Linked DNA regions of Diceros bicornis minor. The protein of the gene in region 1 purifies or fractionates together with the protein of each later gene. This does not show direct contact. Links are inferred from orthologs where the notes say so. Each region holds a gene or a part of one and is shown on either strand. Other genes may lie near its edges. The genes, in order: INSIG1, ERLIN2, SCAP and AMFR.

Region 1 (7,611 bases):
AGAACAAAGACCACAGGCCAGTTATAAAGGGGGCTGGTCTCTGGGTGGGGGAGGCAGCTAGTCTCCTGGTGGGGGCATCAATCTGATCTCCGGGTTGGGGCAGATATCTAGTCTTAGTTCCTGATAGTCTTTTGTTTTACTGGATATGCATCAGAGAGCAGAGCAACGCCCTCTACCCTGATCTGTCAGTTGTCATTGATGAGGGCTATCAGCAAAGACTCTGTGCCTGGGGTCATCACATTCCTAAGGAACTCAAAAGAACAAAGTTATTGACTTGTTGTAGCTGGCAGGGGCCATAAAATCCACAGAGCATGTCTGGGCTAATCGGAGGTCATTCAACGTTACAATAGGGTTTCTTTCTTACAATATGGCTTCCCTTATGTCAACCTTGCGTTGAGCCGGTATCAATATCACCCTGCTATCAAAACAGCGACATAACCAGTTCACATAAACTGGCATGACTGGAACCAAAAAGTCAGATAGCAACAAGCGTTGGCAAGGCTGTGGAGACATCAGAACCCTCACACACTGCTGATGGGAACATAAAACGGAGCAGCTGCTTCGGAAAAGAGTCCAGCAGTTCCACAAGCAAGTAGACACAGAGTTACCATGTGAGCAGCAGTCCCACCCAAGAGAAGTCAAAACCTTTGCTCACACACAAACACTCAAGAGCTTATTGCAGCATGATTCAGCACAGCCAAAAAGTGAAAACAACGCAATTGTCCATCAACAGGTGAATGGATAAACGAAACGTGGTATTTCCATATAATGGGATATCAATCAGCCATAAAAAGGAATGAAGTACTGATACACGAAACAAGGTGGATGAACTTTGAAACATTATGCTAAGTGAGAGAAGCCAATCACAAAAGACCACATAGTATATAATCCCATTCACATGAAACTCCGGGACAGGAAAATGTATAGAGACACCAAGTAGATCAGTGGTTGCCTGGGCTGAGGAGTAGAGGCCTGGAGGGTGGGGTGCCGGGTGGGTAAGGAGGATGACCGCTAAAGCACCCCGGGTTTCTTTTTGGGCTGATGAAAATGTTCTAAAATTGACTGTGGTGATAGTTGGGCAACTCTGTGAATATATTAAAAGCCCTTGAATTGTACACTTTAAATGGGGTAATTGCAGTGTTTGTGAATTATATCTCAAAAAAGCTGTTAAAAAATGGTGATGTAGTCTATACTGACTGACTTTGAAAGATATTTATGATCTCTGAAGACCTGGTTTCACTCCATGTGAAGTAGGATCCTACTTGTGCTTTTTTTAAAATGCACATTTATGTATAGGAAAAATATCTGGAAATACACACCCTAAAATGTTACAGTATCTCTAGGTGGTGGCATTATGGATTTGTTTTAAAATATATTTTTCCATATTTCCTGACTGTTTTACAATGAGCATGTGATATTTTTCTATTAAAAATAATAGGCTTAGCGTTCTATCCTATTTTTTAAAATATTTATTATCAATGGTTGTTAATGTTATAATAAAAAGCGTACTAGGAATACAGACTAAAGGCAGTAGATTGCTCACTACATGACGTCTCAAAGTCCTTAGGATACCCCACCATCCCATGATTCTTCTGGTCCAGAAGAACTACAGAGGTGTCGTGTCCTTACTCAGTGCTTTGGGGAGAAGGGATAGCACTGTGTTTAGTTTGTAAGCAATAGCAAGCTTTCCTTGCATAATAGAACATCTATAACGATTAATATAAAGTGGCACAATTAAGAACTAAATGGTACCCTGGATGGACAGAACGCAGCCCACAGGCATCCCTCCCACCTTCCCACAGGTCCACAGGGCTTCTGTGCTCCCCCCGGTTCAGTCTCAGTACAGATGCGAGAGGGGACAGAGTCAGAGAGGCTGGGCTGTGTTAGTCTCGGCTTGGGTAGAGAGAACAGAGTAACCAAATGAACAGACCTTACCACACCAATTAGCTAACAGAATTGACAGCCCCCTTTCACGCAGGAGAGACAAGACAGGAACTCATAAAATATTTTTGTAAGGTCTGTGCTTGTACATAAAGGGTACTACAGCTGAAAGAGATACTGGGATAGTCTGCATGGCTAGGCAGAATGGCAGGAGAAAAAAGGTAAAGAAAACCATCTTAGATCCCAGCAGGCAGATGTACTGATTTCTGTGCTGTAAGGAATCTCTGTGCACAGCGGCCAGGCAGATAAGCGAAGAGCTGCCACTCTGCTTGCTGGGCCTCACCCACCTGAATAAACCAGTTTTTGAAAGCTGATGTGCTAAACAGAAGCTTCCTGCATTTGCTGGCGTTTCCTAATTCAATCCACGACACGCCTACATTTCAGGGTCAAGGCTATGATGTAGGTGCATCTCCATGAGGTTAAAGCTTGATTTATACCAATGCTTCTCAACCTGTGTGTATGGGACTTGAGGCTGATGGTGGGGTTGGGAAGACACAGCACAGGCTTCTGATGGTTGAAAAAGCAATAACTCAATTATACAGCATCCCATGGTACAGAGGTGCCATCATTTATCTAATGAGTTTTCCATTGGTTGACAGTTGGGCAGTTTTTTATTTTTTTGCTATTACAAAGTTCCAGTGTTACTGTGATGGTATAAATACATATATCTTCATGCACTTAGGCAAGGTGGAGTGGAGCTAAGGGCCAAGACCCAGATTACGATATTTCTTGAAATCAGAACTGCTTTGAGCCTTTGGGAACAAAGCATACAGAGAACAGGGCTCATAGAGGCCTGTACAGAGCGTGAGAGCCTGACTCTGCCCGACCCACAGGGAGAGGTACAGAGGGAACCCCTCCATCCCATCCACTCCCACGTTGTCTGGGTCATGCTCAAGAAAGGAAAATAAGTCACATCATTAGCAAATGCTGTCTTGATTGAACAGAAGCGTTTGAGAGCAATTTTCAGTTTTAATCCACAATGATGACACTTTTTAAAATTTATCCTCTCATAGAAGTAAAAAAGATTAGGTTAAGTTAGAGCCAGGTTGGCATCATGGCTGGGTGTACGATCCACACCACAAACAGGCTGTGTGGCCCGTAAGTAAGCGGTGGCAGAAAAGAGAAACCAGTACTCACCCTGGGGCAGCAGCAACAAGCTAACAAACGGCAATGTCTTTACACAGTGCCTCTCAAGTTTCCCAGTGAACCACTTCTGACAGTCAAGGAGTATGAACACAGCCACTGTCAGCCTACTTTTCCCTGAACTCTCCTGTGCTATTATCACAAACTCACGTGAATCCCCCCAAATAAATGAACTTTGAGAAATACTGATACCTCAGGCAGATGTTTGAGGTTTTCTTTTTTTTTAACTTTCTGGCATATAGCCACAAAGCTTGATGTTGAAGATGCCACCCACAATGGTATTTCACGGTGCCCAAGCCTGTAGGGTCTCTTGGCCATGAGATTTGCTATTTAGAGCACAAACTTCCTCTCTCAATCTCCACGCATCAGCAGACAGTACAAAAGACCACAACCTCTTTCTCCGTTGTTGAGGAACGTGTTAAATAACACCATCTTGCTCAATAAGACGTGGGTTTTCAATTGGCACGAGGCCTGTCCTCCTATTTAGGTGGTGTGATATGGCAAACACGATATGAATACATTACTCCTCAACAAGGTAAAACAATATTTTATTTTTTCCCGAGTGGTTTTGATGATTTGCTTTCCAAATGTGAGGAAAGACAATTAGGGACAGGAAGAAATTATCATGTGAATGAAATTTTCATCACTTATATTTCCACAAAGGATTTTGTGTCAAAAAGGTTTCTGAATCACTTTGGTAGCTGGTAAACAAAGAAGTACCTTGAACATCCTTGCACTCACACAATAAACTACTATCTCTGCGCCCTTACTGCCTGCCGGGTGCCTCCTGGTCACCGCGTGCATGAACTCGCTTTCAATTAGCAGGGGGGGTGACCACCGGGAGCGTCAGGAAGCCGGACACTGAATGGAGGTCAGAGCATCACGAGGGGACTCGGCAGGTGCAGAGCGCGGTCACCCGACGACGACGCGCGGAGGGCAGCAGGTTAGGAGGGAGGCTTATCAATCGGCCAGGTGTGGGCGAGGATCTAGAGTCCAGTTTGTTCACGCGAGGGATGCCCAGCGGCCGGCGGCTGCGTGGATCTGAAAACGGCTCTCCCGCCTTCCCGTCGGAATCGGCGCGCGATGCATCGGGCCGGGCAGCGGGGAGCCGGCAGGAGGCCGCACCGGGGCCGCGGAGCGGGGAGGCCCGGAGCGCCCGCTCTTCCCTCCCCAGCCCGGTCCGTGCCTCCAGCCCTGTCCCCGGGTCCGCCCCCCAAACCCCGTCCGCCCCCGACCCCGCGCCCGGGGCGCCCTCGCTCCCCGCGGCCCCGTCCGCCCGCCGTCCGTCCGTCCGCGCTCCCGAGCCGGCGCCGGGCGCGGGGCGGCGGTGGCGTGTGCTGACGTCATATGGGCCGCCCGCCCCCGATTGGCCGCGGCCGCCTCACCAGACAGCGAGCGCACGGGCGCGCGGGCGGGGCGGGGCGCGCGGAGGCCACGCCCCCGGGCGCGTGGGCGGGGCGGGCGGACGGGCCGGGGTCACGTGACCCTGCGCCCCGCCGCCCGCTTTATAAGTCTCTCCGCGCACTGGGCGCCGCGGGCTGCGACCCTTATCCGCGACCTCCTCTCCCGGCGAGCCCGCGGGCGGGCGCCCCTGGATAGGTGCGTGCGGCGCGGCGGAGCGGCCGGGGGGCCGAGGTGGAAGGGGCAGCGGCCAGGGTGCGGCCGGGAGTGTCGAGGGTGGGATGTCGAGGGCCGGGCGCCCCCCACCCCGCAGCCTCCCCTCCCGGAAGTGGGGCAGACGGCCTTGATCGCGAGCTGCGGCTCCCACCCCGACCCTCGGGCCTCGGCGTACTCCCCGACCCCAGCCCCGGGCCGGGGCCGGCACCCCTGACCCCAGTGGGCTCGTCTGTGGTTCCCTCCATCCGGTAGGAGCCCAGTAACTTGTCCTGCCGCCCCGCTAGCCTCTGCTTCCTGCGAACGGGCGGAGTCTGCAAAACTTTTGGACTGGACGGGACCAGCACTTCAGGGTTTATGCGGAGGAGCACTTGGCGGGTGGGGAGCTCAGAGGGCTCTGCAACGCTCGGGCGACCTAACACCTGGCTGTCCCTGATCGCAGCCCTCGCTTCCTCCGTGGGTGCCCTTGCCAGTCCATCCCCGTGGTACTGCGGTGTGGGCTGCCCTGTCCGGCTGAATCCCCAAGGGACTAGGGAGTTTTCCTGCACGAGCTGGTGATGGATGTGAGCATAGCCTTCCTTCTGACGGGCTCTTCCAGACCTGCCGTGTCGCTTGGAAATGAACTTGATGGCGATTCCTCCTCTCCGACCCCTTTTTTCTTCTAGGAAAGTCTGCCTGACTCTGGTGACTGATGCCCAGATTGGACGAGAACTTCTGGAGCTGTTCCTGTGCTGACCGCCTGAGGCACAGAAGCCACCCGAGAGCCGGTGCCGGAGGGCTGGCGGCCAAAGTGGGGGAAATGATCAACTCCTCCGCGTCCGGCCCTTCTCGGCTGATGGCCCCCCGTGCCCTGGACACTGACGCCTCTCGTGGGCTGCGGAGCCCTGGTGTGGGGGGCCGTGGTGGCAGCAGCGGCCACACTAACAGCTGGCATCACCACTTGGTGCAGAGGAGCCTGGTGCTTTTCTCGGTCGGGGTGGTCCTAGCCCTGGTGCTCAACCTGCTGCAGGTCCAGAGGAATGTCACCCTATTCCCTGAGGAAGTGATTGCCACCATCTTCTCCTCAGCCTGGTGGGTTCCTCCCTGTTGTGGCACAGCAGCTGGTGAGTAGAAAGAAAAGATGGCTGTTTGGTTAAAAACGCTCTTCAGCCTATGAGAAACATTTGTTTGAAAATGGAACATCCACAGAGGACAAGTGTGCGTCTCCAGTCCTTGTATTTAGTGGGGAAGGGGGTGGAGAGGATATTGAACCCCCGGATGCTAGTCTCTGGAGCTTGGAGAAAGCTCAGTGATGGAGATGAGGTGGGGAGATAATTGGCTGTTCCGGGCTTGTGCCAGGCTGCCGAGGCCCTTCCCCCTTACTGACCTGGCAGTGGGGACAGTGTTAGGGGAGCCCCACAGCTGTCATCCCGAGCGAGTGGCCCCCGGATTGGCCACCTGCAGAACTGGTGAGCCGCGGGACTGCACTGCTATTGGTTGCCCGCGAGAACATGCTACGCTGCTGGGTGACTGAAAACAAACCTGTCACGTGGGCACAGTGGGCAGAGGCGTTGCCAGGGAGCAGCCTCTCCCACTTCCTTTTGCAGGATGGCCAAGTGGACGTGGCCAAAGCCAGACCTTTCCCCCAGAGCTGCTGAGGAAACAGTAACCCCTCGTTCAGGGTTTACCCCTCGTTCAGGGTTTAGGTGTGAGTTCCCGTAACTAGTCACGGAGATGCCGCAAAACATGACTCTGGGTCAGTCTAAACTGTGGGCAGGTGGACTGCCTGTTTTTAGTAGAATTTCTTGGTTATTTAGCTGGTTTTATTAAAACGCTGAATTGCTCTTGGCCTAGAAGATCACTTAGTGCTGCTCTAGTCACACGTCATTCACGGATTAACAAACGTGTCCACTGCTCCTGCAGCCTCCAAGTCCACCAGCTGCTGAAGCGCAGGGGGAGTGGGACAGAGGGCAGAACAGGCGTGTGTGGGTGATGGCAGGGTCGCAGGAGTGCCCTGCCGTTGGCTCTGTAGCTGACACGTGTGCACTGTGATGCCCACGTCGCATTTTATGTGCTTTGCTTCCTTTCGTCCTTGCAGCACTGCTCTGCTACAGCTCCATTTTACAGATGGGGATCACAGGGAGACTGAGTGCCTGTGTCCAAGGGGCCGCAGCCAGTAAGTGGCAGGGCCACTGTTCATAGCTCTGCACACAGCCTCCCTGGAGTCTGGGTGTCTCCCCTATACTGTGGAAACACGTCACCTTCTCGGCAGACTCACTTAAAACAGCAGGAAGGCGTGAGGCTTGTGATGGAGAGCCTGGTTCCAGCTAGGACAGTCATCAGAGCCATACTGTAGTTAGGAAGCAGTGGGTAGACTTTTCATCTTTGTTCTCAGAAAGATAGGGTCCTACTTTGTTCTTTTAAACACTTTAAATATCTGGCTATACTATTAAAAATCCTTTTTGAGAAATAGATCTAGATGCAAAATTCCATTTTTCATACACATTTGGCGCAGTAGTTTCTTTCTTTGAATCAAAAACTTGATCTTAAAAATGGAACAGTTTAGGCTTTATTTGTAATTGAAGCTTCAAGGAATTCCAGGAATATCTGAAACACAATTTTTCGTACCCTACTCTTTTTTTTTTTTTTTTTTTTACCATCAGCCAAGAGCATAAGGGAAAAATTCCATAGTGCCTTTTCACCTATTTAGCTTTTCACCTTAAAAGGTAAGATTAAGTTATAGTGAAGTAAATTATAGAGCTGTTTGGGTTCCATTTTAGAGTTAGAACTTGATAAAATGTAATATGAAATTGAAACTGAAAATCTTTCATTTGAATGTTTAGCTAAAACTGTGTTTCTTGTTTCTCTGTTCAAGAACCTAAAATGGTGACGTCTTTCATAGAACACCCGGGTGGGACAACTGTGTGGCTTTCC
Region 2 (7,249 bases), on another chromosome or scaffold:
TGGAGAGTGAGGAAGTAAAGACAGCAACCGTAGGTACTTTTTCAAGAAACTGCTCAAAAGGAAGGAGACAAATCACGTGAGAACTAGAGGTTTATGCAGGGTCAACGGAGGGGCTTTAAGAGAGAGGAGAGAGAGGGAGACTTGCACAAGACTGCAGGCTGCAGCTCAAGATCTGCTAGAGTGAGGAGATCGTTGAAGGCTCTAGGTTCCTGGAGGATGAGATTAAGAATCCAGGTGGAAAAGACTGGCCTAGAATAGAACATGGGTTTCCTTATTCTTTGATATTAACATACCAGGCACATAAGGTATCTCTTTGTCTACAGCAAAAAGGCATCTATCAATGATATAGAGAGATGTATGTGGACAAAATGCCATACAATCTTTTTTTAAAAATTCCTAAAGTTACTATGGATTCAGAGATGTCAAATGAATGGTCATCCCAGGCAAAACAAGCCAAGCCACACCTCTAACCACCAGGCCTCTCAGCGCAGTTTCCCAGGGTAGCAGGCTGCTTTCCCATTACTCCCCAAAGGCGCTGTGGACCTTAACCAAGTCCCCTTTCTGGAGACTTCCTCCCCTGTGCCCTCTGTTTCTCCATGAGTGAAATAAATGGGTTAGATTAAAATCACAGGCAACAATGTATATGTCCATCAACAGATGAATGGGTAAACAAATTGTTTAAATAATTCTACAATAGAATATTACACAGCAAGAAAAAGGAATGAACTATTGACATACTCAACAACATGGATGAATCTCCAAATCATTATTCTGGGTAAAAAAAATCCAGACAACCCCCCCCAAAAGAGTATATACTGTGTGATTTAATTTATATGAAATTCTACAAAATGCAAACTAATCTACAATGACAAGCAGATCAGTTTCAGCTTGGGAATTAAGGAGTCATAGAGAGGGGTGGGAGGGAGAGATTACAAAGGAGCTTGAGGAAATTTGGGGGCATGAGTCATGTGTTCATTATCTTGATTGTGGTCATATACATATGTCAAAACTTATCAAACTGTACACTTTATAGGTACTTTATTGTATGTCAATTATACCTCAATAAAGCTATAAAAACATATAATCACAAAATGATCTTTTAGGTGACTACCAACTGACTTCCAACTCAATTTTTTTTTTCAAGACTTCTCTTTGATCCCTTTACCGAACTCCCTTGAAGAACCCCAAGCAAATATCCTTTTGTTGTTAGAAGGCACCAATCCTGGTTTTTCCAACTGAAAATAAGAGGGGAAAGTTCTAAGTATCCTTCTTAAGAATTAAGGACATAATTCTTCACTCCTCTTCCCCCAAGCTCACCAAAATCGTACTGGGATCAAATGTCCTGAAAGATGACTTCTAGTCTCTGTTTAGAGCATAAAATAAGAAGAAAAATCAAAATCAAACAAAAACGTTTTCCAGCAACTTCCACTCTTGTGATATAAATGAACTGAAGCCAAAGATGTTAAGAGTTGCCTGGTTCCTTTGGAGTTAACCACCTGGTCATTAATAAAAAGGGCTCTAATTGTGAAAGAAGGGGTCTCTTCTATCTTTGAAGTGGCACTCTCACCAACAATTAGCTTGTTAGAGGACTAAACAAACAGCAATCCAGACATAGGGAGATGTGGATAGCTGTCATGGGAGTATTTTTTTTTTTTTTATCATGCTTCAACTTACAACTGCACAAAAAGAACTGGCCCAATTTAAAGTTTCGCAACTTCTGACCATCGGTCTACATTCCTGAAAGGTTACACGTGAAATAAATGTGGTGTGTGTGTGTTCAGTTGAATCATTAGTTCCTAATTCATTTACTATAATGAAGAAATAGACTTGGGATTATTTGAATTCTGTCTTTGCAATTCACAAGCTTTGTGATCTTGGGCAATCCCTCAACTTCTCTAGGCTTCAAGTTCCTCCTCTAAAATGGAGTTGACCTCAAAGGGCTGACCTGAAGATTGTATAAAATGAGAAAGGCATAGGCCCTGGGACATGGAAAGCACTCACTAATGGTTTATGAAATCTGCATTGTAAATATCCATTGAGGTATCATTTCAGAGACCCTTATCTCTTCTGATAAGCCTTCATTGGGTTATTACTCAATACCACATAACTTTAATTTTATCCTTCCCTCACCTTTTGTCATATTGATAATCCAAATCCACAAACAGGCAAGAACACATTAATGGAATCTGCTATTTAAAACGGCAATAGCTAACACTTAAAATGTGCCAAACGTTTTCCTGATTTGACATTTAATCCTCACAACAGTCCTATAAGGTTCAGACTATTATGACCCCCATTTTACAGATGAAGAAACTGAAGCACAGATAGATTAAGTCATTTTCCCAAGGTCACACAGCTAATAAGAGGCAGGGGGAGGGGAGGCAGCCCCAGATGTAAACCCAGGCAGTCAGCCTGGAGTATCTATGCTTGGCCACCATACCTCGATTTTTTAAAAATGGATTTTTAAACACTTTTGTTAAACAAATCCCCGCAGACTTACCTCCATGATAACTTTGGATATTGAGTCATAAAAATCACAGGTCTCTTAAGAAAGGGATTTTCAGAAATGTTAGATCATCATCTACTGAAGTCCACCCCCTGCCTCTCGATGGGGCCACAATGGGACAACTCAGGCCTGGTGAGAAGGATCCCAAGAACAAAATCCCACAACTTCCGCTCATAGTTCATTCCCAAGTTTCACAGTCAGGAAATTCTTAAATTACAACTAATTTAAATCCTTTATGCAGGCTAAGCCCCATTCCTTGGGCTGAAACCTCAACATTTCCATTTCTCTTACTCATTCACCCAACTATTAAATAAACCTTGATTAAGCATGCCCAGCTGAGTTATATCACCGCACGGGGAGAGAAAAAAGCTCTCAAGTTCTGACAGGATCAATCAGGAGATTGACCAAGAGTGCGGGCATGCGCGCGTGCTGGGGGTGGGATTTCCAGTGGGGGGCGGTGGGGAGAGGTCCTCATGTATGGAGGTGAACACAGAGCTCCCAGGCAGTGCCATGCAGCCCACTTGTGGCCTTAACCATATAATGCTGAGCCATCCCCACACAAAGTCCCAGAGCAAACCCGCAGAGGGAGAATGAGCCAGCCCCAAGCAGCCATGCCTGGAAAACCTACAGTTTCCTATTCCTGTGTCCTAAATCTACCACCACTAGCTTGCCATCTTCCCCGTGTAAAAGCTTTTCATTTACTGAAGGTTGTAATGAAGTGGACTCCAACTTTCTCTTCTGCAAATAAAATAACTTCAGTGGCTGAATTAGAAATGCCCCAATGTGATGGTGCTGAACAGCGAAGGCTGCGGACAACGGGAGGCCCTTAGACTAGGAGAGGCAAAGTCTGGATCCTGGTCCCGGTCCCGCCACGCCTTCAGTCTGTTTTGACTGAGCACCTGAGCACCCGAGCACCCGGGATGCTGAAGGGAAGAGGCAATCCCTGCCCTCAAGGAACTTACAGTCTAGCCAGGGAGACAACGAAGCGCACAAGCCCCTGTGTCCTGCGGCAGGAGTTAACTTACAAAGGCAGTTAAGGTCCTGATGTTAAGGAAGCGCAAAGGAGGCTTTCATCCACTGTTACCCTCGCACCTCACTGATCTTAGATTTCGTTCACTCAAGTTGGGATGATTCCTTCTTAATCGACTTTATGGTGCGGGGACCTCAGAGGCCAAAGCTCCTAGAAAAGCAAAAAGGCAATTCAAAGCAGCGACTGTTGATTAGCGACGTAAGGGTGCTAATCTGCACATTTAAAAGACCCTGCGAGCACAGGGCTAGAATGGTTGCAACTCGCTGGGACCTGCTCCGGGAAAAAAAAAAAAAACAGGCTTGGCCTAATGCGGAGGGGCCTCCTCAGCAAACTCCAAAGTCAAAATCTCGGAAAGTGACACCCTCGGTCTCAGCAGCCGCGGTCACCCTCCACGCGCTCCGCGCACCCCAGCCCTGAAATCCCAGAGCGCAGTGTTGACCGCCCAGACCGAGCCGCGGGCACCCCCTGGCGGCCACCCGCGGACACTGACCGCTCGGAGCGCGAGGGCGGGGCGAAGAACTCGGCAGGGAGGGAGTGTGATCCTCTCGCGTGGACTAATGGCGTCATCAGAGCGACGGGTCCGGAAGGAAGTAGCGTGTCGAGGGGTGTGGCGGTTTCTGCGGTTGCACAGGAGGTCGGACGAGTACGGAGCGCCTGGAGGGACAGCCTGGTACGCGGCCCCCGCCCCTTAGTGGGCGCGCTGGGCCTAGTTGCGGCTGTCGGCCGGAGCCGATGAGCGGTTCTCCCGGGCCCCCGCCCCAGCAGCCTCGCTCCCTCAGCCGGCCCACTCCGGGAGCGAGAACGCGACGCTCCTCTGTCCCTTCCCTTCCCGCGATCCCGCAGGCGGGACCGAGCGGAGGCTCTCGGAGCCCAGCCCCTCCCCAGGGCGTGTGGGACGCGCGACCCTCTCTCGGAAGAGGACAGGGAAGGGGCGCGAGGTGGGGCGGGGTGACCTCGGGGAGGGAAGAGCTGTTGCGGAAAGGATGCGGCTGCAGATCGGTAGCAGGAGGCCGCCACCGTAAAATAAGCGCCTCGCGGGTGTCCGCGCCCGAGCTATGTTGGACCCGGGCGGCAGAACCCACGCTCTGCGCGGGTGGGCCGCGCACGCCTGCCTGCCTTCTGCTGCCCGTTACCATAGGGTTTCCAGATCATTCAGTGTTCGGAAAATGAGTCTAGATGCCAACTCTTTCGCATCCTGGTGCCTGAACGCAGTTGTCCCAGGAGCCCAGAGTCCTCCCAGCTTGGGGAACCCCCTTTCTCTAACCATGGAGTTGGGACCTGTCAGGGGCAAAGTGTCAGGTATATGGGAGGGAGTGTGTCTTCAGTCTTGTTCAGAACCCTGTCCCGTGAAGGGCCAAAGGAATAACTGGGAAGGTGCATGACAGGCCAAAGAATCCCACCTTGGACCCCTGCTCGCATGCTGTCTCTGTCGCTCCAGCATCTGAAAGGAGTAAATAATGGTTTCCTGTGAAATGACGGGCAATTAGGACTGGGAGGCTCTGACCAGAATTACATAGCCACAACTGCCGGTCATCTGACATCCTCTGTAATTTGGGCCAACATACTGCAGCTGCCTCTCTTCCCTTTTACTAGTATGAGTGGCTCCAGTGACAGCACGTGCGTGTTCACAGGAAGGGAAGGCTGTGTTCTGAACGCTGCCCAATTAGCACGGGTTCCTCGGGCCACGGCTGGAGCCACTGCCTTTTCAAGAGGTGGGAATATAGTTCTACAGTTAAGGAATGGGAATGTTGACTGAGAACAAGGTTTGAAGAGAGTTGTAGACCTAGCCATGTGTTGATACTATAGCAGGCTGGATAAGAGCCGCTTTGAGGGAGCTCAGCTTGGTGAGGTGCTCTTGCTGTCATAGCTTGTCTCCTGCATCAGACCACACACATTTTCCCGTATTTTTTTCCTAGGATAAAGGTTCACTGATGGCTCAGTTGGGAGCAATTGTGGCTGTGGCTGCCAGCTTCTTTTGTGCATCTCTCTTCTCAGCTGTGCACAAGATAGAAGAGGGACATATTGGGGTGTATTACAGGTAAGGCAGAGACAGGGAGAAACTTGCAACTTCCTCTTACATGACTCTCCTTCCTAATCACTGTCTAGCAGATTCTGCTGGATATCTGTGTTTATATTTTGTTGAATAGGGGAGTCTTTTAGATTGAGCTTTTGTGTCAGTGACCATGGGGAGGGGAATACACACACATACATATATACACATATATAGTTGTAAATATACAATTTAGTAGTCTAAGTTGGTGCCATGGGTGGTGATTGATAAATGTGTATAGATATGTAGAGACAAAACCTAAAGGAAACCAGTGCTCCTTGCAGATCATCTCTGAAACATTGTTTTCTCCTACATCCCTTTGGGCATCTTGGTGCCACAAGGTTACCTCTGATGAGTACCAGTTCTTGATGGCAACTTGAGGAGCTAGCCTGCTGTGCTAATTTGAACCTACTGTTTAAAATTAACATTTCAGGAAATGTGAAAGAGCCTGCAGGTTTATTTATATTAATTAAGGCAAGCCTGAGGATAGTGGTTCTTACAATAATGGAGCCCATTATGTCACTATTTTATTGCTCTTTTTAAAAAAAAAAATGTATCTTCGACTTCATAATGTAAAGTGAAGAAGCACTTATAAATCTTGAGGTGCTTTCCTTTTAGTAACCTCCATAACCAAGTTGTTGCTTTAGCCTTTATGAACCCCTTCGTGTATGTGCCCTATGATGCTTATTTCTAGATTTCCAATAGCAAGTTCTAAATGTCTGATTGAGTTTCCCTCTCTACTTTAATTATTTCTCCCCACCACCTGCTTTTATGTCCCCAAAAGAGGCTTTTAATTTTGTTATTTACATATAACTTGATTAAAAGATAACTCGCCTGCCAAAAAGTAATATATTAAAATGATTTCTAAAGCATACTTAAAATTATTCTTTTGGTTGTTCATGTCACTGGACTCCAACATTAGTGCAGTTAATTGATGGCAGTATTACTGCATTTAACTGCCCTAATGGATTTCCACAAACTCAAGGGATATGACAAAATAAAACAGACTTCCTCTCTTATCTGAAGTACAGCCAGGGATTCTGCTGTCTTTATTCTACTTAACCTGTGTGCCTATCTTTCTCACTGCAAAAGCGTGAATAATGGTTTTATGTTTTACCATCAGGCTTCCTAGAATATTACAGTTGAGCCAAGAGGAAGAAAGGGATCAGTGGACGTGGCTCTGACACATGTCACCCTATATTAAACGTTTGTGGGGCTGAAGAGAAAGTTGGCCGAAACCATGTTGCTGTAATAGATACCTCTTGCTAAACTGAACCTGCCTCTCTCTTCCTCCTCTGCAGAGGCGGTGCCCTGCTGACTTCCACCAGCGGCCCTGGTTTCCATCTCATGCTCCCTTTCATCACATCATATAAGTCTGTGCAGGTATACTTGGCTTGTGTGGTATGGATGGACGACTGCAGATTTGGGGTGCTGACTAATGCATGATTTGGAATTTAGCTATTGGATGAGTATAATACCTTTTCAAGGAATCATTTAAGAGTCAGTTTTATTTATATATGTATATATATATAGAAAGAATGAGGCTCCACGAGCCATTTACTCTGGAGCTTGATTGTTGAACTAGCTGAATGGGGTCATTTCCTTGGCCCATCAGCCCCAGTTGGGCATTATTTCTTCACTTCAAGACAAAGCCAGGGAGGAA
Region 3 (8,011 bases), on another chromosome or scaffold:
TTAGCCTCTCCAGGCTTCAGTTTTATCATCTACAAAAAGGGGAGACAATAGTGCCTGTTTTATGGGTTTTAAAGAGTTGTCAGGGTCAAATAAGTGATGACGTGTAAAGTAGACCTGGCACATGGTTTAAGCATTAGCTACTGCTGCTGTTCTTATCATCTGGCAAACTCGCACCTTATAAGGCACTCATACAGCATCCTCTTGGTGATTCTTGCTCTTTGGTTTCCTGCCAACCAACTCCCTTCCACGCGTAGGACTTGGAAGCTCAGTGGGAGAAGTTCAGGGGCTTTGGGTTGGGCAGATCAACATTTGATGCTGCCTCTGCGTGACCTCAGGCAAGTTGTTAAAGCTGTGGGTTCTTCAGTTTTTGCATCCTTAAAACGGGGTTTATTTTACCTGCTCTAAAGGCCATCATGAGGATTATATTATAAACCCTGTCGCTGGCAAGGAGCCAACAATCAATAGTTTGTCATTATTATTGGTTGCTATTATGACCTCTGTAATAACCTTTATCATATTGCCTGCAAGGTTTTGTTTAAAGATATGCACTAAGACAACTTCTCTAGTGCAGGGAATTAACTTCTTATATCCCTGGTCTCATACATGGTAGGAACTTGATAGGTAATAAAGGAATTGAATGAGTATCAGTACAAGTTGGAGATTTTAAATGTTTTTAGTGATTGTATCATGGCTATTAGAATGGCTACTGTTTATTGGTACCTAGACATTTTACATGTGTTCACACTGATTTAATTTTTTTTTGAAAACTACAGTGGTTGATGTTCTTGGTTGCGTCTTGGAACCTGACTCCTAAGTCGAAGTTCCCTGAGGTTAAATTAATTTTCCTGGCCACAGAGCAGCTGCTGCATGTCAAAACGAGGATTCAAATCCAAGAAGTCTGGCCCTGAGGCAGCCCTTTCCACTTTATCATGTTGCCAGCTGCTATCACTAATGCTTAATTCATGGTGAGCATGATTATTAGTGCAAGCAATTGCAAAGACAGACCGTTATCATTATGAAACATCCTCCTCTGTGTCCATAACAAGCTGAGGTGGCTGGGCAGTGGGCTGGAACCCAGAGTCCTGGGTCCTAGACTGTGGCTGCCTGGTCGGTTATCAGAGTGACCTTGGGCAAATCTCCCCTCTTGAGGAAGCTTTCTTCATTTGTGAAATAGACCCAGCCTCTATTTTGTCAAGATTGTCATGAGGATTTGCCCAGCCTGGAAGCTGAAGTACTGGGAATTAATACTTCTTGATGATCTCTAAGCTCCATTTAGTTTTAAAATTTTTTGAATTGATCATTCCCATGAGGAGCAATCTGAAGTAAGCTTCAGCTTTGGCTAGTTAGGGCTAAATGGAGCTGTTCCACCTGAATTACATTTAAAAACTAAAATCAGCTATCTGCAACTTACCTGGAAATGCATAATAAATAAGATGATTGGTAGGTGGATAAAAGGATAGATTTTTTTTTTAAGATAGATATAAGATACTAAGTGAAACATTAACAGTTGTAAAATCTAGAGCATATAGTCATTAACTGTATGGTTCTTTTAACTATTCCCTGTTTTCATAATAAAATGTTGGAAGAGAAGCCCTAAAATCATGGCCACTGATTGGGGGGCATTCTGTGGCAGTCTCACCAGGGGCTCAGGAGCCTCAGCTTCCCCACAGGGCTGAGACAGGAACCAGCCTAGGAGACAGGGCTATCTGCAAAGCCCCTGGCCTAGCAAGATAAGACTCCTAACCCATCCGCAAGCTAGGAGAATCAGATAGAGACCACCAAGATCCACATTCCGCAGTTTCGAGACTTTCCTGGGCTTACGCATGTGCCCTAGCACCAAGCAGTTGTCTGAAGGTGACCCTAGCCCCATTACCATATTAAAAATCACAGCCAGGGGTGGAGAGCCAGGATGCTAATAATACATGCGTCACACATAGTAGCATGCTACACAACAGCACAGGCACAAGCACAACCCTACCTCTACATGCCAGGATGAGGCACTCATTCCCTAGCCTTTGCCTAATAAAATGCCCGAAAATCTGTCTCCCTAAAGAACCTGTCACCTGCCCCTTTTCCGCACCGGCTCCCTTGTGCCTCTCCTGTGCACAAGCTAATAAACTTTTACTTTTCTACTTCTGTTTGTTATCTGTCTTGATTTCTATCCTGGCGGACAAGAAGGACCCAACATGCCGGTAACAGGGCCTCGGTGGGTTCTCCTTGGGCAGTGGAGGACACTTGATAGCGCTGTAAGCACAGAGGTACTTAGCTAAGTGCTTGTCAGTTCTGGGGGCTTTTGTGTTTGGAGGAAAGTGCCCAGACCTTGCAGAGGCTCAGTCCCCTGCAAACACAGGTTTGGTGGAGTGGTCTGGTTGGGTGGGAAGGGGTTGGTGAGTAAGGAAGGGTGACAGCAGTCCCCAAAATACAGTCTGGCTGTCTAAGTCCCTGCTGCGGAGGTTGTGAAAAGCCAGGCCCTCTCTAGAGAGAAGACTCTGGTCCAGTGGGTCTAGGGTACGGCTCAGGAAGACTATTGGTTTAACTTTAAATATTTCCCAGGTGATTCTGCTGAGGCAAGTTTGGAACCACATTCTTTGTAGGAACTTGGCAGTAAAAGGGATTGGGACTCAGTCATGCAGGCTCACGGTAGTTTCACTCAGAAAACTAAAAAAGCTGGATTGACTTTATATTTGCCCAAAGGAACAAGGCAGTGGAGAGAGAGGGAAGAACTGGTGACAAAGAAGTGAGATCCTTTTTGCTCATGACTTCTGAGGGGCCGGCTGATGGCATTTCAAGGGATTAGATGTGGACAGAGTGATGTGAGGATGGGTAAGGGGTCTAAGACTCCCTCACACTACTCTTTTGCTGCCTTTCTCTAAAAATAACAAACAAAAAAAGAATTCTTCTTTTATAGAATAAAAATTCTCATCTAAAGCAGAAAGCCAACTTTGAATACAGGGCATAATTTTTTTTTTTTTATAATTTTATTTATTTATTTTTCCCCCAAAGCCCCAGTAGATAGTTGTATGTCATAGCTGCACATCCTTCTAGTTGCTGTATGTGGGACGCAGCCTCAGCATGGCCGGAGAAGCCGTGCGTCGGTGCACGCCCGGATCCGAACCTGGGCCGCCAGCAGCGGAGTGCGCGCACTTAGCCGCTAAGCCACAGGGCCGGCCCACAGGGCATAATCTTAAAGGTCACTTTGGGCCAAGGCCAATTGTCCCCATTACTATTTAATTTCACTGTGACAATAGTGTGGTGGGCAGGGAGGGAGGCAAGACTTTGGCGGCCTTGGAGATGTGGCCTAGAGTCCAGTGGGAACAAGGTTGAGGGAGAGGATAGACTCTGAAGAAGGCCTAGGAAAGACAAGGCGGCTGGAGCTGCCAGAAGGGCCGCCTCTAATTTCTCCCTTGCATTGTGGCTATATCTGCACTTTAAAGCAACCTCAGCGCTGCAGCCCTTGAGGGCAGGAACAGAGTCTGCTATATGCTAGTAGCCTCCGCTGGGTGCCGTGCCGGTGAACTGAGCGGCTGAGCATGGCTAGGGCAGCAGGGTGGGGCGGGGCTGACCCCTGACACTGGAGACCCGGGTCCGCGAGGGCGTGGGGTGGTGTGATCAAAGGGCAGCATCCTGGGATGGGCCAGCGTTGGGCGGGCCAGGACCCGACCCCTAGCCCAGGGGAAGCCTCCCCTTCCCGTTGTGTGGGACCCAATAACAAGACAGACCTCGGGGTTTTCGGGAAGGTGGGATGAGACAAAGTGTGCGAAGTGCTCAGCTCAGCACTTGACACAAGAATAAACATTCATTGGACATTGGGCCGGCCCGTGGCCTAGCGGTTAAGTGCTTGCGCTCCAATGCTGGCAGCCTGGGTTCAGATCCTGGGCGTGCATCGCCCGGCCGCTTCTCTAGCCATGCTGAGGCCGCGTCCCACATACAGTAACTAGAAAGACGTGCAGCTATGACATACAACTATCTACTGGGGCTTTGGGGGGAAAATAAATAAATAAATAAAATTATAAAAAAAAAACCATTCAGTGGACATTGCTATTGCTATTACAACAAATACACTTTCCATGTAGAAAATGGTTAAACACCCATCAGCAAATGGAAAACACCCAACACCCATACTCCTCCACCCAGAGAACTCCACTGACCACACATCAGTGTCACCCTGGACCCCTCTCCTTGGATTGTTCTTAGCAAAAATGAGCTCAGACTCTACAACTCATTTTGAACCATCTTTCAAGAACTTTCAACAACAGTATTTGTAAAACTAATCTTTTTAAAGGCTGTAGAGAAACTCATGGACGTAATTTATTCGACCCATCTGCATTTGTTGTGTCTCTGGGCTGCTTTTAATTTTTCGTTGTTATAAAACAGGGAACATGGGCATCTTGTGCATGTTTTTTTTTTTTTTTTTTTTTTGTGAGGGGATCAGCCCTGTGCTAACATCCGCCAATCCTCCTCTTTTTATGCCGAGGAAGACGGCCCTGGGCTAACATCCGTGCCCATCCTCCTCCACTTTATATGGGACGCCGCCACAGCATGGCTTGCCAAAGCAGTGCGTCGGTGCGCGCCCGGGATCCGGGCCAGCGAACCCCGGGCCGCCGCAGCGGAGCGCGCGCACCCAACCGCTTGCGCCACCGGGCCGGCCCCATGTGCATGTTCTTGATAATTCTCAGGAACGTGTAGTCAAAAGCCCTGGTGCGGTCCTTACAGCCCTATCCCATCTTGACGCCCCGCCCCGACGGCCCGGCTCTGCCCTGTACCACCACCTCTCCCTCCCTTGGGGTTGTGTGACTGGCGTCCGCCAGGGGGCGAGCGGGAGCCGCGGGCGGGGCTCGACTACGCATGCGCGCGCCATCGGGAGCACGTGTGGAGAGCTGCGGGGGTGGGAGGGGAAAGGTAGGAGGTGAGAGGTGAAGGGGCGGAGAGCTGCGCGGGCGCCAGGCTACCGGGAGAGAGGGGGCGCGCGCGCTACGCACCGGACCGCGGGCCGGGAGCGCGCACGCCGCGCCCTGCCGCCGGCGCCGCCGCCCGGGAGCTGCTGCTGCCACAGGTACCGCCACGGGTCCGGAGTTGGGCCTCCTGCCGCGCAGCCGGGGAGTTCCAGGATGGGGGCCGCCGGGGGCACGGGCGCGCAGGCGTGGGCGCTGTCCAGCAGCCGTGCGGGCCGGGCCGGGCCGGGAGGCGGCAGCCGGGAGACGGGACCAGGCCGCCGCGTCCCCACCCCGACTGCGCCCCCCATCCCTGGCCCCGGGTGACCTCTGCCTGGAGAGGTGGTCGCGCCGTTGCGCCTCCTGGCCTCGCCGTTCCTCGGGAAGCTGTTGCTTCTAGAACCTGCTTTTGGGCTGTCTGGGTTTTCCAGAGTGAGAGGGAGAGCATGCTGTCTGTTCCTGCCTCTTTTGGAAGATCTAATTGAGAGGCAACACGTAGCTTTTTTGGGTTTTGTTTGGGTTTTCTGTTTTGCCCAAACCTAAACTTTGCTCACGGATGTTACCTGTTTACTTCTAGGTGGGTCTGTTAGCTCAGTATATCATACAGGATTATAATGTCACGATAGCATTAGTTGCAGGGAGCCTCGGATCCAGACTGTTTGAATCACAGAAAGTTGTACAGGTAGAAATGCTGTTGGCTGAAGGGACAGGGAGTCCCTGGGGGGGCTCTGGGAGGGGTTCCCCCTAATTTGGGCCACTTACTGCCCCACGTTCTGAGGTGACAGTCAGAGCTGTGTGACTAAACTCTTTGTGAGGATTTTGTAATAATTTTTGTGAAGAGAACACAGAAGAGGTTTCTTTAATGATGTTAGCTTTGTGTGTGTTTCTTTTATCTGGCCTCATGTTTTGTGGAGTTTGGTTATGCAGTGTCCTTACTGGTGTTGTGCTAAAGATTGAAGCTTTTACAAGGGAGTCAGGGTCAAGGGTGTCTGGTTAGCACTGAGTACATTTTAGGTGTTCCCGAGTGATACCTAATTGATGACCCGTATCTTTTAAAATGTATGTTAATATAGTTTAGGTTTTAGGTGTTTTACACATTTGCAGCATTCCCACTGGACAAACGATGTAAAAAACACAAAATATGTGTAAATGTATCTCCATATTTATTCTTTTGGTAATAGATTGAAATTGAAAGAATTACTTCTTATTTATTAGGAACTAGTCTGGTGTTTGAGAGCTCTCTCTCTTCTTTTGCTGTTGTGGCAAAACTGCACCTCTCCAGAGGTCTCCGTATATTTCATAATCCTCCCTGCCCCCACCAGTTATCTAGATGAGTTTACTGTTGTGAGGTGGGTAAAAAGTCTGCTCCCAGTTTATGACTAGAAAATGGAGGCATAAAGATTGTGAATTGCCTGAGGTCATATATGAGCAAGTAAGCTGTCCAGTGGGCAACAAACCATACCTGTGGGGATTAGTACACATGCATTTATTAACATTTGGTGGTAGACTTTAGGGATGCTCACTCTCTTAGTATCTAGCCATGCACGTGAATGCGTCTCAAGGACCCTGGAATGACACTTAGCTTTATGTACTGTTTGCTTATCCTCACTTTGGTGGCCATTTGCTGGCCACTAGTGGTAGTTTCACTGGCTCTAATGGGTACTGCATATATGGTTTCTGTCATCACTCACAATAAACAGATGAGAAGACTGTCCCTCATAGAGAAACTGGGTTCTCAGGGTCACCCAGCTGGTAAGTGGTGGATCAGGCCTGCAAACCAGATGTGCTTGACTGTACTACCTGAGCTACTTCCACTGTAACTTGGTCCCTTCCTGAGCTGGCCGATGAAACAAAGTCCAGGTGACTTCTTTTGCCATCTGAAGTAATAATTCTGGGTGAAATATTTATTGAGCATTTGTGCTGTCTAGGTACTGTGCTAGGTGCTCTAATAATAGCTTATCTCACTTAATCATCATAATAACCAGGTGAGATGATACTGTTATCACCCCCTTTACTGGTGAGTTTTAGAGATGTTATCTGACTGGCCCTGGGTCACCTAGTGAATTAGAAGCAGAGCCCAGGCGTAAACCCAGGTTTGTCCGGCAACGGAGTCCGTGCTTTATGCTGTTCTTGCATCTGTTGGCTTCACAGTCTGCTCTGTTGCCCATTGGCAGGTGAGAGCTAGCAGAAGAAGGTGATCGAGGTGAAGGGAGGAATCCAGCATCATAGACTTCAGTCAGCGGTGGTGGAACTCAGAAAGGAGATAGCAATTTGGCCCCTGCATTTGACAGCTTCCACTTGAGTGGTCAGGGGCACTGCCGGAGGATGCTTGCAGGGTTTCTGGGCCATATATAAGCTTTGCAGTGGAGTCCAAAGAGGAGGAGGGTGTGAGCATGAAGGGTGCACGTGGGTCTCAGGAAAAAAAGAATTAAAACTGATCTTTGTGTTTATTTCGGCCTTCATTTTTATTATGTATTTTATAATGTACACTATATTATCACAGTACATATATAATTTATATATAAATATACATATATTGGGGACATATACTCAGATTTTTGTTGTTGGGGATTCATAATGAAAAACATTTGATAACCACTGGTTTATTTGATATTTTAGCATTTTCCGAATGCATAAATTACGTAAGGCATAATTATTAGCCTTACATTAGCACATGTAAGGTGCTAACCATTTGTTCCTGAGTTGGAAGTCCAGTGAAACTCAGTGTAATTCCTCATTATCAGAGAGAATGGTATTTCATATTAATAACCAATTATAAATTATTTAAAAAATTGCAGTCACAAGTAGGAAAGAGGATCTGGTATTTCAATAGTCTTTATGTCTCAAATATAGCACCAAGCTTAAGTTTGAAGCTATAGTGACTGATAAAGCCCTTTAGAAGTTAGATTTTGGGGCCAGCCCCGTGGCTTAGCGGTTGGGTGCTCACGCTCCGCTGCTGGCGGCCCGGGTTCGGATCCCGGGCGCGCACCGACGCGCCGCTTCTCCGGCCATGCTGGGGCCGCGTCCCGCATGCAGCGGCTGGAAGGCTGTGCAGCTGTGACACGCAGCTATCTACTGGG
Region 4 (7,038 bases), on another chromosome or scaffold:
TTTAAAAACTTCAACTTTTGGTTACTGTGCTTACATCATAGTGTACAAGCATCATTTATAGTTTGGCTTTGAGGATTTTTCTGGCATTAAGTTTATAGAAATGTATAAAAGAAACTGTTTAAGTTTTGGTTATATTTTTATATTTGTAAAGTAAAAGTTTGATTAAAATGGTCACTGTTTTTTTATTTTATTGTCATTTCAATAAAAAAAAATTTAAAATAGAATGACTGATTGTTTGTGTGGCTCCAACCTTAGTGTGCCATTAGAAATCCTGCAGGGTTCTTTTTCACTGTTAGTGGCTAGGGGCCATTAGGTGAGAGACAGCTTGACGTAATAGCAAGGGCCTGAAGACCTGGGACATCGATGTTGCCCTCCCCTCACACTCCTCCATTGTGTGTTAGCAGTGTTCATAGGCAGATTCAGTTTCCTCCAGTGTGAAGCGGTCACTGGATTTGGTACCTGGTGCAAATAAATGCAAATAAAAAATAACCTTATATTATTGGGTTAGTTTCACCTATTCTCATAGCTGGGAAGATTGGGATTTAGAAATTGCCTCACAATTGTGTTAAGTCTGTGTTGTTATATCATTGAGGACTCCATTTCCTCATCTATAAAGAGTGTTCACTCCTACAGTTTTTTTTCCTCAAACTTGCCAGACAGTCGTGATGTTCTGTGACACCATGCTTGCTGCTTATGTAATGCTGTGTAATTTAATTTCAGCATCTTAAATAGAAACAATTTATACCCAAAATATGAGAATGTATGTGTAATAAAACCATAGCCTTGAGGCTTTATAGCTGAACAAATATTGAACAAAACCTGATAAAGTTATTGCAAAGTTCTGAAAATTTTACTACTTGTGTATTTTATAGCAGGCACCAAAGAGCTATGAAAAATTATGAAAGAAAAGGTAAAGATTGAAATATACCCATTAACTTAGTTTTTTCCGCACAAACTTGAGGAGTTGGTTAGTTTTCCTCTTCTGCTAGATTTAGTAGTGGAATACATTGGTCCAGCTAAGGAAACACCGGAATTCCATGGGAGTCCATTTAAGGCTACTGGATTAGATAATGATGTTCAGTTCCTAGGACGTTGAGAATCTTAACAAAAAGCTACTCAGCCCTTCTCACAGGATGGTGAAAATCACATGAGGTCACGCATATGAAAGGATTTCAAATATTTTAAAAAATGAAAATAGCAATACTGTATCTAGGTGTGAATCTTACTCCATACAAACTCTGGTCTGTTTGAAATGACACATTTCCTTTAAATCAAACTAAATCAGAGCCATCATCCCACAAAGATGGAAGGAAATTCAGTCTCTCAGTCACTATTGGGAGTGAGGACCCACCCAAAGTCTCACAAGAATCCAGAAGGCATAAATGGTACTCTGAAATGAAAGTGGGGGTGCGGAGAGCTCTGGCTTCCGTCACGGACTCCACAGACCCTTTCTTGTCCAAGCTGGACCAGGCCCTTAAAGTCTGGTGCTGTTGCCTCCATGTCACACTTGGGCCTTGGAACTTGACTGATACAGGTAGTCCCTGTGCCTATGGTCCAGCCTTCCTGGGTACACTAAATATTCATCCCTTCTGTCTCTTGCCTCCTCCCCTGGTCCTCTCATGGAGCAGGATGCAGCACAAAGAACCAGAAGCATTAGCTGACTTTAGAAGGTGGGTTCCGTCCTTGCCAAAAAGAAGCCATGAGAGATGGATGTGCAAAAGCCTGGTTACCTTCTTGGAAAGGGAAAGGAAAAAATGTTGGTAGAACAAATACTAATTATCCTAGTAAAATATCCAGACACAAACATCTAAAATCTTTTAAAATGTGAATTAAAAATTATATAGTTAGGTTAATTTCACCTATTCTTATATTGAATATTGAGAAAGTTCAAGCTTCTAAGTTTAATTTAGTTAGACTAGTTTTAATATAGTCAGAGCCAAAAGTAAAAAGTTGCTATTAGACACTTCACAAAGTCATTCCAGAAAACAGGTTGTCTAAAGTTTTTTTTTAACACTTAGAAAGTAGTGGTTATCTCAAAATATAATTTAATAAAGAGTATAGCACTTTGAAATTCAAGATGGTGGAATATTGTACCTTAATAAGGGCAGATCTATTAACAGCAGCCTCTTATGGTGATGGGACACAGTTGGTGTGGTATTATGTAACTGTAATGTGACTTAGACTGAATATGGATCACCTGATAGTGTGGTTTAAAAATTATGGGAGCTCAGATAAAGTAGAACAGTAACTTCCCTGGAAAATCGCTATCTTCATTTTTTCAAAATAAAGCTTTCCTTTATTTTACCAATAAAGTTGAAAGTAGCGTTTTAATCAAATGGCTGCAGGGTGGAGAACCAAAGGGAACTGAAGTCTAATATTCATATAGACTTCATAAACAAGTATGTGTAAATTCACATGGACATTGAGCTCTATATGAGGTCTATATAGACCTCATATAAAAAAGTTGGTGTGTGGCCCCCACAAAAGCCAAACTGTTCTGTTCCATCACAGGCCCTTTAATAGGATGATCCTAAAACTTCCAAAGTAGATGGTAATAACCTTGAGAGATCTTTTTTAGTTTCCAATTAGTAGGCTTTTCGAATTAGAGTATTAGGTATAAAAGAGATTTTGAAGACAATTTCTTTTCTTTTGAAAGTTTGTAAGATGCATCAAAAATTGACTGAGCACCTGCTGTGGGCCAGGCACTATTACAGGCCTTGGAGATACAATGAAGAATAAGACCCCCAAGCTAACATTTTTTTTTTGGTAGCACTTTTTCTTTGTAACAGCTTTACTGAACTATAATACACATTGAGATATATCTCACCATTTAAAGCGTACACTTAAATGATTTTTAGTGTATTCAGAGTTGTGCAACCATCACCACAATTTTAGAACATTTTCATCACTTCAGAAAACCATATTTAGTTTTTACCCTCCAGTTCCCTCATTTCCCCATCCCTAAGCAACCATTAATCTACTTTCTGTATCTGTAAATGTATTTGCCTGTTCTGGACATTTCCTACAAAGAGTCACAATATGTGGTGTTTTTTGTCTGGCTGCTTGCAGTTACCATGTTTTCAAGGTCCGTTCACGTTGCATCAGTACTTCACTCATTTTTATGGCTGAATAATATCCCATCATATGGATATCCCTTATTTATGGATTCATCACTTGGTGGACATGAGGGTTGTTTCCACCCTCGGGCTATTATAAGTAATGCTGCTACCAACATTTGTGCACAAGTTTTGTGTGGAGGTATGTTTTCACTTCTCTTGGGTGTATACCTAGGACTGGAATTGCTAGGTCAAATGGTTACTCTTAGGTTTAACTTTTTGAGGAACTGAGAGACCGTTTTCTGCAGTAGCTGCACTATTTTACATTCCTACCTAGTGTACGAGGGAACACTTTTATTTCCCGCTAAATGCGGTTCGTTTTAGACTGTGCGAGGCTACTAGCAAACAGCAGAAACTGAAGACAGCTTTGTTGGGGAGAAATTTCAGACTGTTAATAGTCTTTCTTTGAGGTCAAGGCCTCTATTATTCCCTAAGCACCATCTCCTCTTTCGGCCACCGGGGAAGCTGCTAGGCCCACAGGGGTGCTCAGGGGCAACCTGCTTAGGAGGGGTTAAAGGGAACGAAGGGCCAGGCGGCCGGACGCCCGGTGGCCCGGGTGCCCGCGTCCTGCGCGCCGCCACGCGGCCTGGGCCCCACCGCCCGTCAGCGCCGCCGGGCCTGAGTGCGCTTCGGCTCGGCCGGGCGGGTGCCCCGCGCGTCCGCGGGCGGCGGAGCTGGGCCGGCGGGGCAGCACGCTGGGCGCTGGGCCTTGGCCGGCCCGGCGGCGGCGCGAGCGCTGGGGGCGGGGGACGGAGGCCGCGCCCCCGCGCCCGTCCCGCCCGCACCCTGCGGGGGGCGGCGGCCCGCCCCGCGCCCGCCGAGGCTCTTCCGCGCCGGCAGGGGCAGCAGCGGCAGCGGCGCGGGGCGGAGCGGCGCGAGCAGCCAGGAGCGGCCCGGCCTGGCCCGGCGCGGCGGCGGCGGCGGCGGCGGCAGCGGCGGCAGCGACGCCAGAGCCCGTGGGCGCCGTTCGCGAGGCCGCCGCGGCGGCCTGGCCGCAGCGCGGGGAGGCCTGGGGGCCGGAGGCCGCCGCTGCCGCCATGCCGTTGCTCTTCCTCGAGCGCTTCCCCTGGCCCAGCCTCCGCACCTACACGGGCCTCAGCGGCCTGGCCCTGCTCGGCACCATCGTCAGCGCCTACCGCGCCCTCAGCCAGCCCGAGGCCGGGCCCGGGCGCGGCGAGCAGGAGTCGCCAACGGCCCCGCTGCTGCCGGAGCCGGCCGCGCTCGCCCGCCCGAGCGCCGGGGGACCCCGCGCCCGCGACGTGGCCCAGTACCTGCTCTCGGACAGCCTGTTCGTGTGGGTGAGCGAGGCCGCCGCGAGGGGCGGGGGCCGCCATGTCACCCATTATCTGTGGGGGGCGTGGCTGGGGCCCGGGTCCCCTCCCTGGGGCCCGCCGAGTGAGAAGCCTGGGGCCCCGCCCGCGAGCGCGCTGCCGGAGGAGGGGGGCTGTGGGGCTGGCCCGGGGCGGGAGGAGATGGGCGTGAGGAGGCGCGGCCGAGTTGGAGGGCCTGAGGAAGGGGTCGGGGGGGGCGCGGGGGCGCGAGGGAGGGAAGAGGTTAGGTGCTGGAGGGGCGGAGTAGAAGTCAAAGATGGGGAGCGGGGTGGGGGTTCCTGAGGGCCCCCCGGGGAGGAGACTGGAAGCCCTCAGAGAGCAGGCTCGGGGGAGGCTGGGCCCGGCGGGTCAGTGGCCCCGCTGCTGTGTTCCCTGGTGGAGGGAAGCTGACAGGCCTTTCTGACCCGGTCGTGCACGGCAGTGTTGTAGGGTTTCCCCTGGAGAGGAGAGGGCACAGCCGGAATTCGGGGTCGAGTCTGGGAGCATTTAGGCATTTGGGTGTTTGGACGTTCCTATTCGGCGAGAGGCCGTCTCCCACCACTTTTTTGCCGTTTAGCCTGCGATTGTCCTCTTTGGGTCAAACAAACCTGCAGACCGTGCTTCCTCTCCTGCCGCTCTCACCTGGTGATTCGTCACGGTTTCCTTTGATGTCTGAAGGCAGCAAAACACTCATCATTTTAACTCAGGATTTCTCCTTTTGGTGATCCATTTTAAAACAAGGTTTCCAGTTCGTCTGTCAATGCACGATAAGCAGCCTTTACAAGGCAGACATGCTGGGTTCGCTGATTAGAACAGATAATTTCAGGCGGGGCAGATCAGGAGTATTTTGGCTAAAGAACTTTGCTTCCGCCTTGGCCTAATGTAAATACTTCTTTATATAAACCCTACAGTGATCAGAAAAGTTGCTGCAAGGTTGAAGTGTGTCGCTTGGATATACTGTGGCGTCTTGAGTCTTGTCCCCTCCTGAGAGTTCCCATTTGGGATGGAGAGTAGGCTGTAAATGACTGAGATTAGTATTCCAAGTATATAGAATGATATACAACTCATTTGTAATAATTAATCCCACTGTGCTTCATCAGGAAGCAGTGGGATTTAGGAACTCCGTGGGCTGTGGATTAAGTCTCCTGGTCCTTCTCATGAAGAGATTAGTGGAAGGCAGTGGAGGGTGAGGTTCGGGTGCTCTGCTGCTGTGAAGTTGGACCTTACAGAACTGAAGACGGGAAAAGTGAAAGAACTCAACTCCCATCTCTTGTTTAATTTCAGATCTATTTTTGTGTTTGACTTAAGCAGGTAAACAAGTTAAAGTGATGTGAAGAGGGTTTTTGCCAGATGTTAACATCATCATGTAGTCTTTGACATATTTTTTTAAGTATAAGATATGAATAAGCCTTTGAGAAGGAACCACTATAGTATTTATATAACAACTACTAGTAGTGATTCGTGATTCTTTTTTCCCTCGGAGTTTCTTTTTACAAAACCCACGTTCAAGTTCCAAGGTTAACAGCTCTTCATAAAATATTACATAAAGGCCTGTTGATTTTTCTGTGAAAATTATTACTTTTAAGAAAGTTTCCTTTTCTTCCCAGCTTTTTCAGTAAAGGACTTGCCTCATGCAAGTTTGACATTTCTTCCTGTCTGTTTCCTTTCTCAATTGATCTTCTTATTGTTTTTCTTCCATCTTTGCTCCTTGGTTTTCACGCTTCCATCATGGCCTTCCTTGGTTTCTCAGACCCTCAGCACCCATTACATGGTTTCTGCTTCACTAGCTGAGTAGGAATCACAATCTCAGAGGCCTTCCTCCGTGGGCTGACTGATAGCTTTATTGAGTGAATATGTGGTGGGGCCTTTGTCAAAATGGATCTGTTTTGCTCTCTGTCCGAAGGCATTCAGATTCAATTTTTTAAAACCAAGCAAGACAAAACAAAAGCTGATCTTTTGGCCAGTTTGCAATCTGGCTGCTATTATTTGGTGTATTGGAATGTCTAAAACTTATCTTTGTAGAGCACAGTTCAGATTAGTATGGGTCTGATAGCATCTCAAGAGGTTTTTGGTTAACAAACTCATTTCAAAACCCTCAAAGGTACTATTTGGAGCACTCTGGAGGGCATGGCTGTGAACACTTTCCCCCTACTCTCAAAGCAATCCATATACAAATAAGGCAAAATTCGATAAATGATAGTAGATATATAAAGAAAATATGGTGGAGTTTGGAGGAAAGAGAAAACGATGCCCAGGGAAGGATGCATGGAAGGTGATATTTGAACCCAGCCTTGGAAGGTGGGAAGGGTCTCAGCAAGCAGCAAAGGGCATTCCAGGTAGAGAAAACAGCATGTGAAGCTCAGACTGGAGTATGGAGGACAGGGGAGAGCACGTGCAGAGCGGTTCATAAAGTCGGTTGTTAAATTGAAATTACATTGGATCCTTTCATTTAAGAGTGAGGTTGGGAAGGTGAAGGGGAGACCCAGGAGTCACAGGAGATGGGGGAAGTGACCCTGCTGTGAGAGAAAGGGAGAGGTGAGCAACCCCTCTGAAAGTGTATTTTTCAAAGTGTGGACCTCTGGCAACCTGGTTCATTGTCACCTGGGATACTT

Evidence for each region.
Region 2: the proteins of INSIG1 (region 1) and ERLIN2 purify together in Homo sapiens (affinity purification with western blotting; 4 studies listed by BioGRID and IntAct, with this or other methods). This does not show direct contact. The link is inferred for Diceros bicornis minor from reciprocal best matches to the Homo sapiens genes INSIG1 and ERLIN2.
Region 3: the proteins of INSIG1 (region 1) and SCAP purify together in Homo sapiens (affinity purification with western blotting; 11 studies listed by BioGRID and IntAct, with this or other methods). This does not show direct contact. The link is inferred for Diceros bicornis minor from reciprocal best matches to the Homo sapiens genes INSIG1 and SCAP.
Region 4: the proteins of INSIG1 (region 1) and AMFR purify together in Homo sapiens (affinity purification with western blotting; 6 studies listed by BioGRID and IntAct, with this or other methods). This does not show direct contact. The link is inferred for Diceros bicornis minor from reciprocal best matches to the Homo sapiens genes INSIG1 and AMFR.

The regions. Positions count from the first base shown.
Region 1 is NC_080742.1:100,132,261-100,139,871, forward strand, and holds the start of INSIG1 (insulin-induced gene 1 protein), read left to right. Parts: upstream 1-4,610; 5' UTR 4,611-4,683; intron 4,684-4,955; exon of another isoform or gene 4,956-5,261; intron 5,262-5,363; 5' UTR 5,364-5,389; coding exon 5,390-5,801; intron 5,802-7,611. UniProt on the Homo sapiens protein: Oxysterol-binding protein that mediates feedback control of cholesterol synthesis by controlling both endoplasmic reticulum to Golgi transport of SCAP and degradation of HMGCR.
Region 2 is NC_080768.1:34,488,530-34,495,778, forward strand, and holds the start of ERLIN2 (erlin-2), read left to right. Parts: upstream 1-4,247; 5' UTR 4,248-4,914; coding exon 4,915-4,986; intron 4,987-5,452; coding exon 5,453-5,574; intron 5,575-6,887; coding exon 6,888-6,969; intron 6,970-7,249. UniProt on the Homo sapiens protein: Component of the ERLIN1/ERLIN2 complex which mediates the endoplasmic reticulum-associated degradation (ERAD) of inositol 1,4,5-trisphosphate receptors (IP3Rs) such as ITPR1.
Region 3 is NC_080741.1:48,816,871-48,824,881, reverse strand, and holds the start of SCAP (sterol regulatory element-binding protein cleavage-activating protein), read left to right. Parts: upstream 1-4,993; 5' UTR 4,994-5,053; intron 5,054-8,011. UniProt on the Homo sapiens protein: Escort protein required for cholesterol as well as lipid homeostasis.
Region 4 is NC_080771.1:9,983,637-9,990,674, reverse strand, and holds the start of AMFR (E3 ubiquitin-protein ligase AMFR), read left to right. Parts: upstream 1-4,033; 5' UTR 4,034-4,153; coding exon 4,154-4,414; intron 4,415-7,038. UniProt on the Homo sapiens protein: E3 ubiquitin-protein ligase that mediates the polyubiquitination of lysine and cysteine residues on target proteins, such as CD3D, CYP3A4, CFTR, INSIG1, SOAT2/ACAT2 and APOB for proteasomal degradation.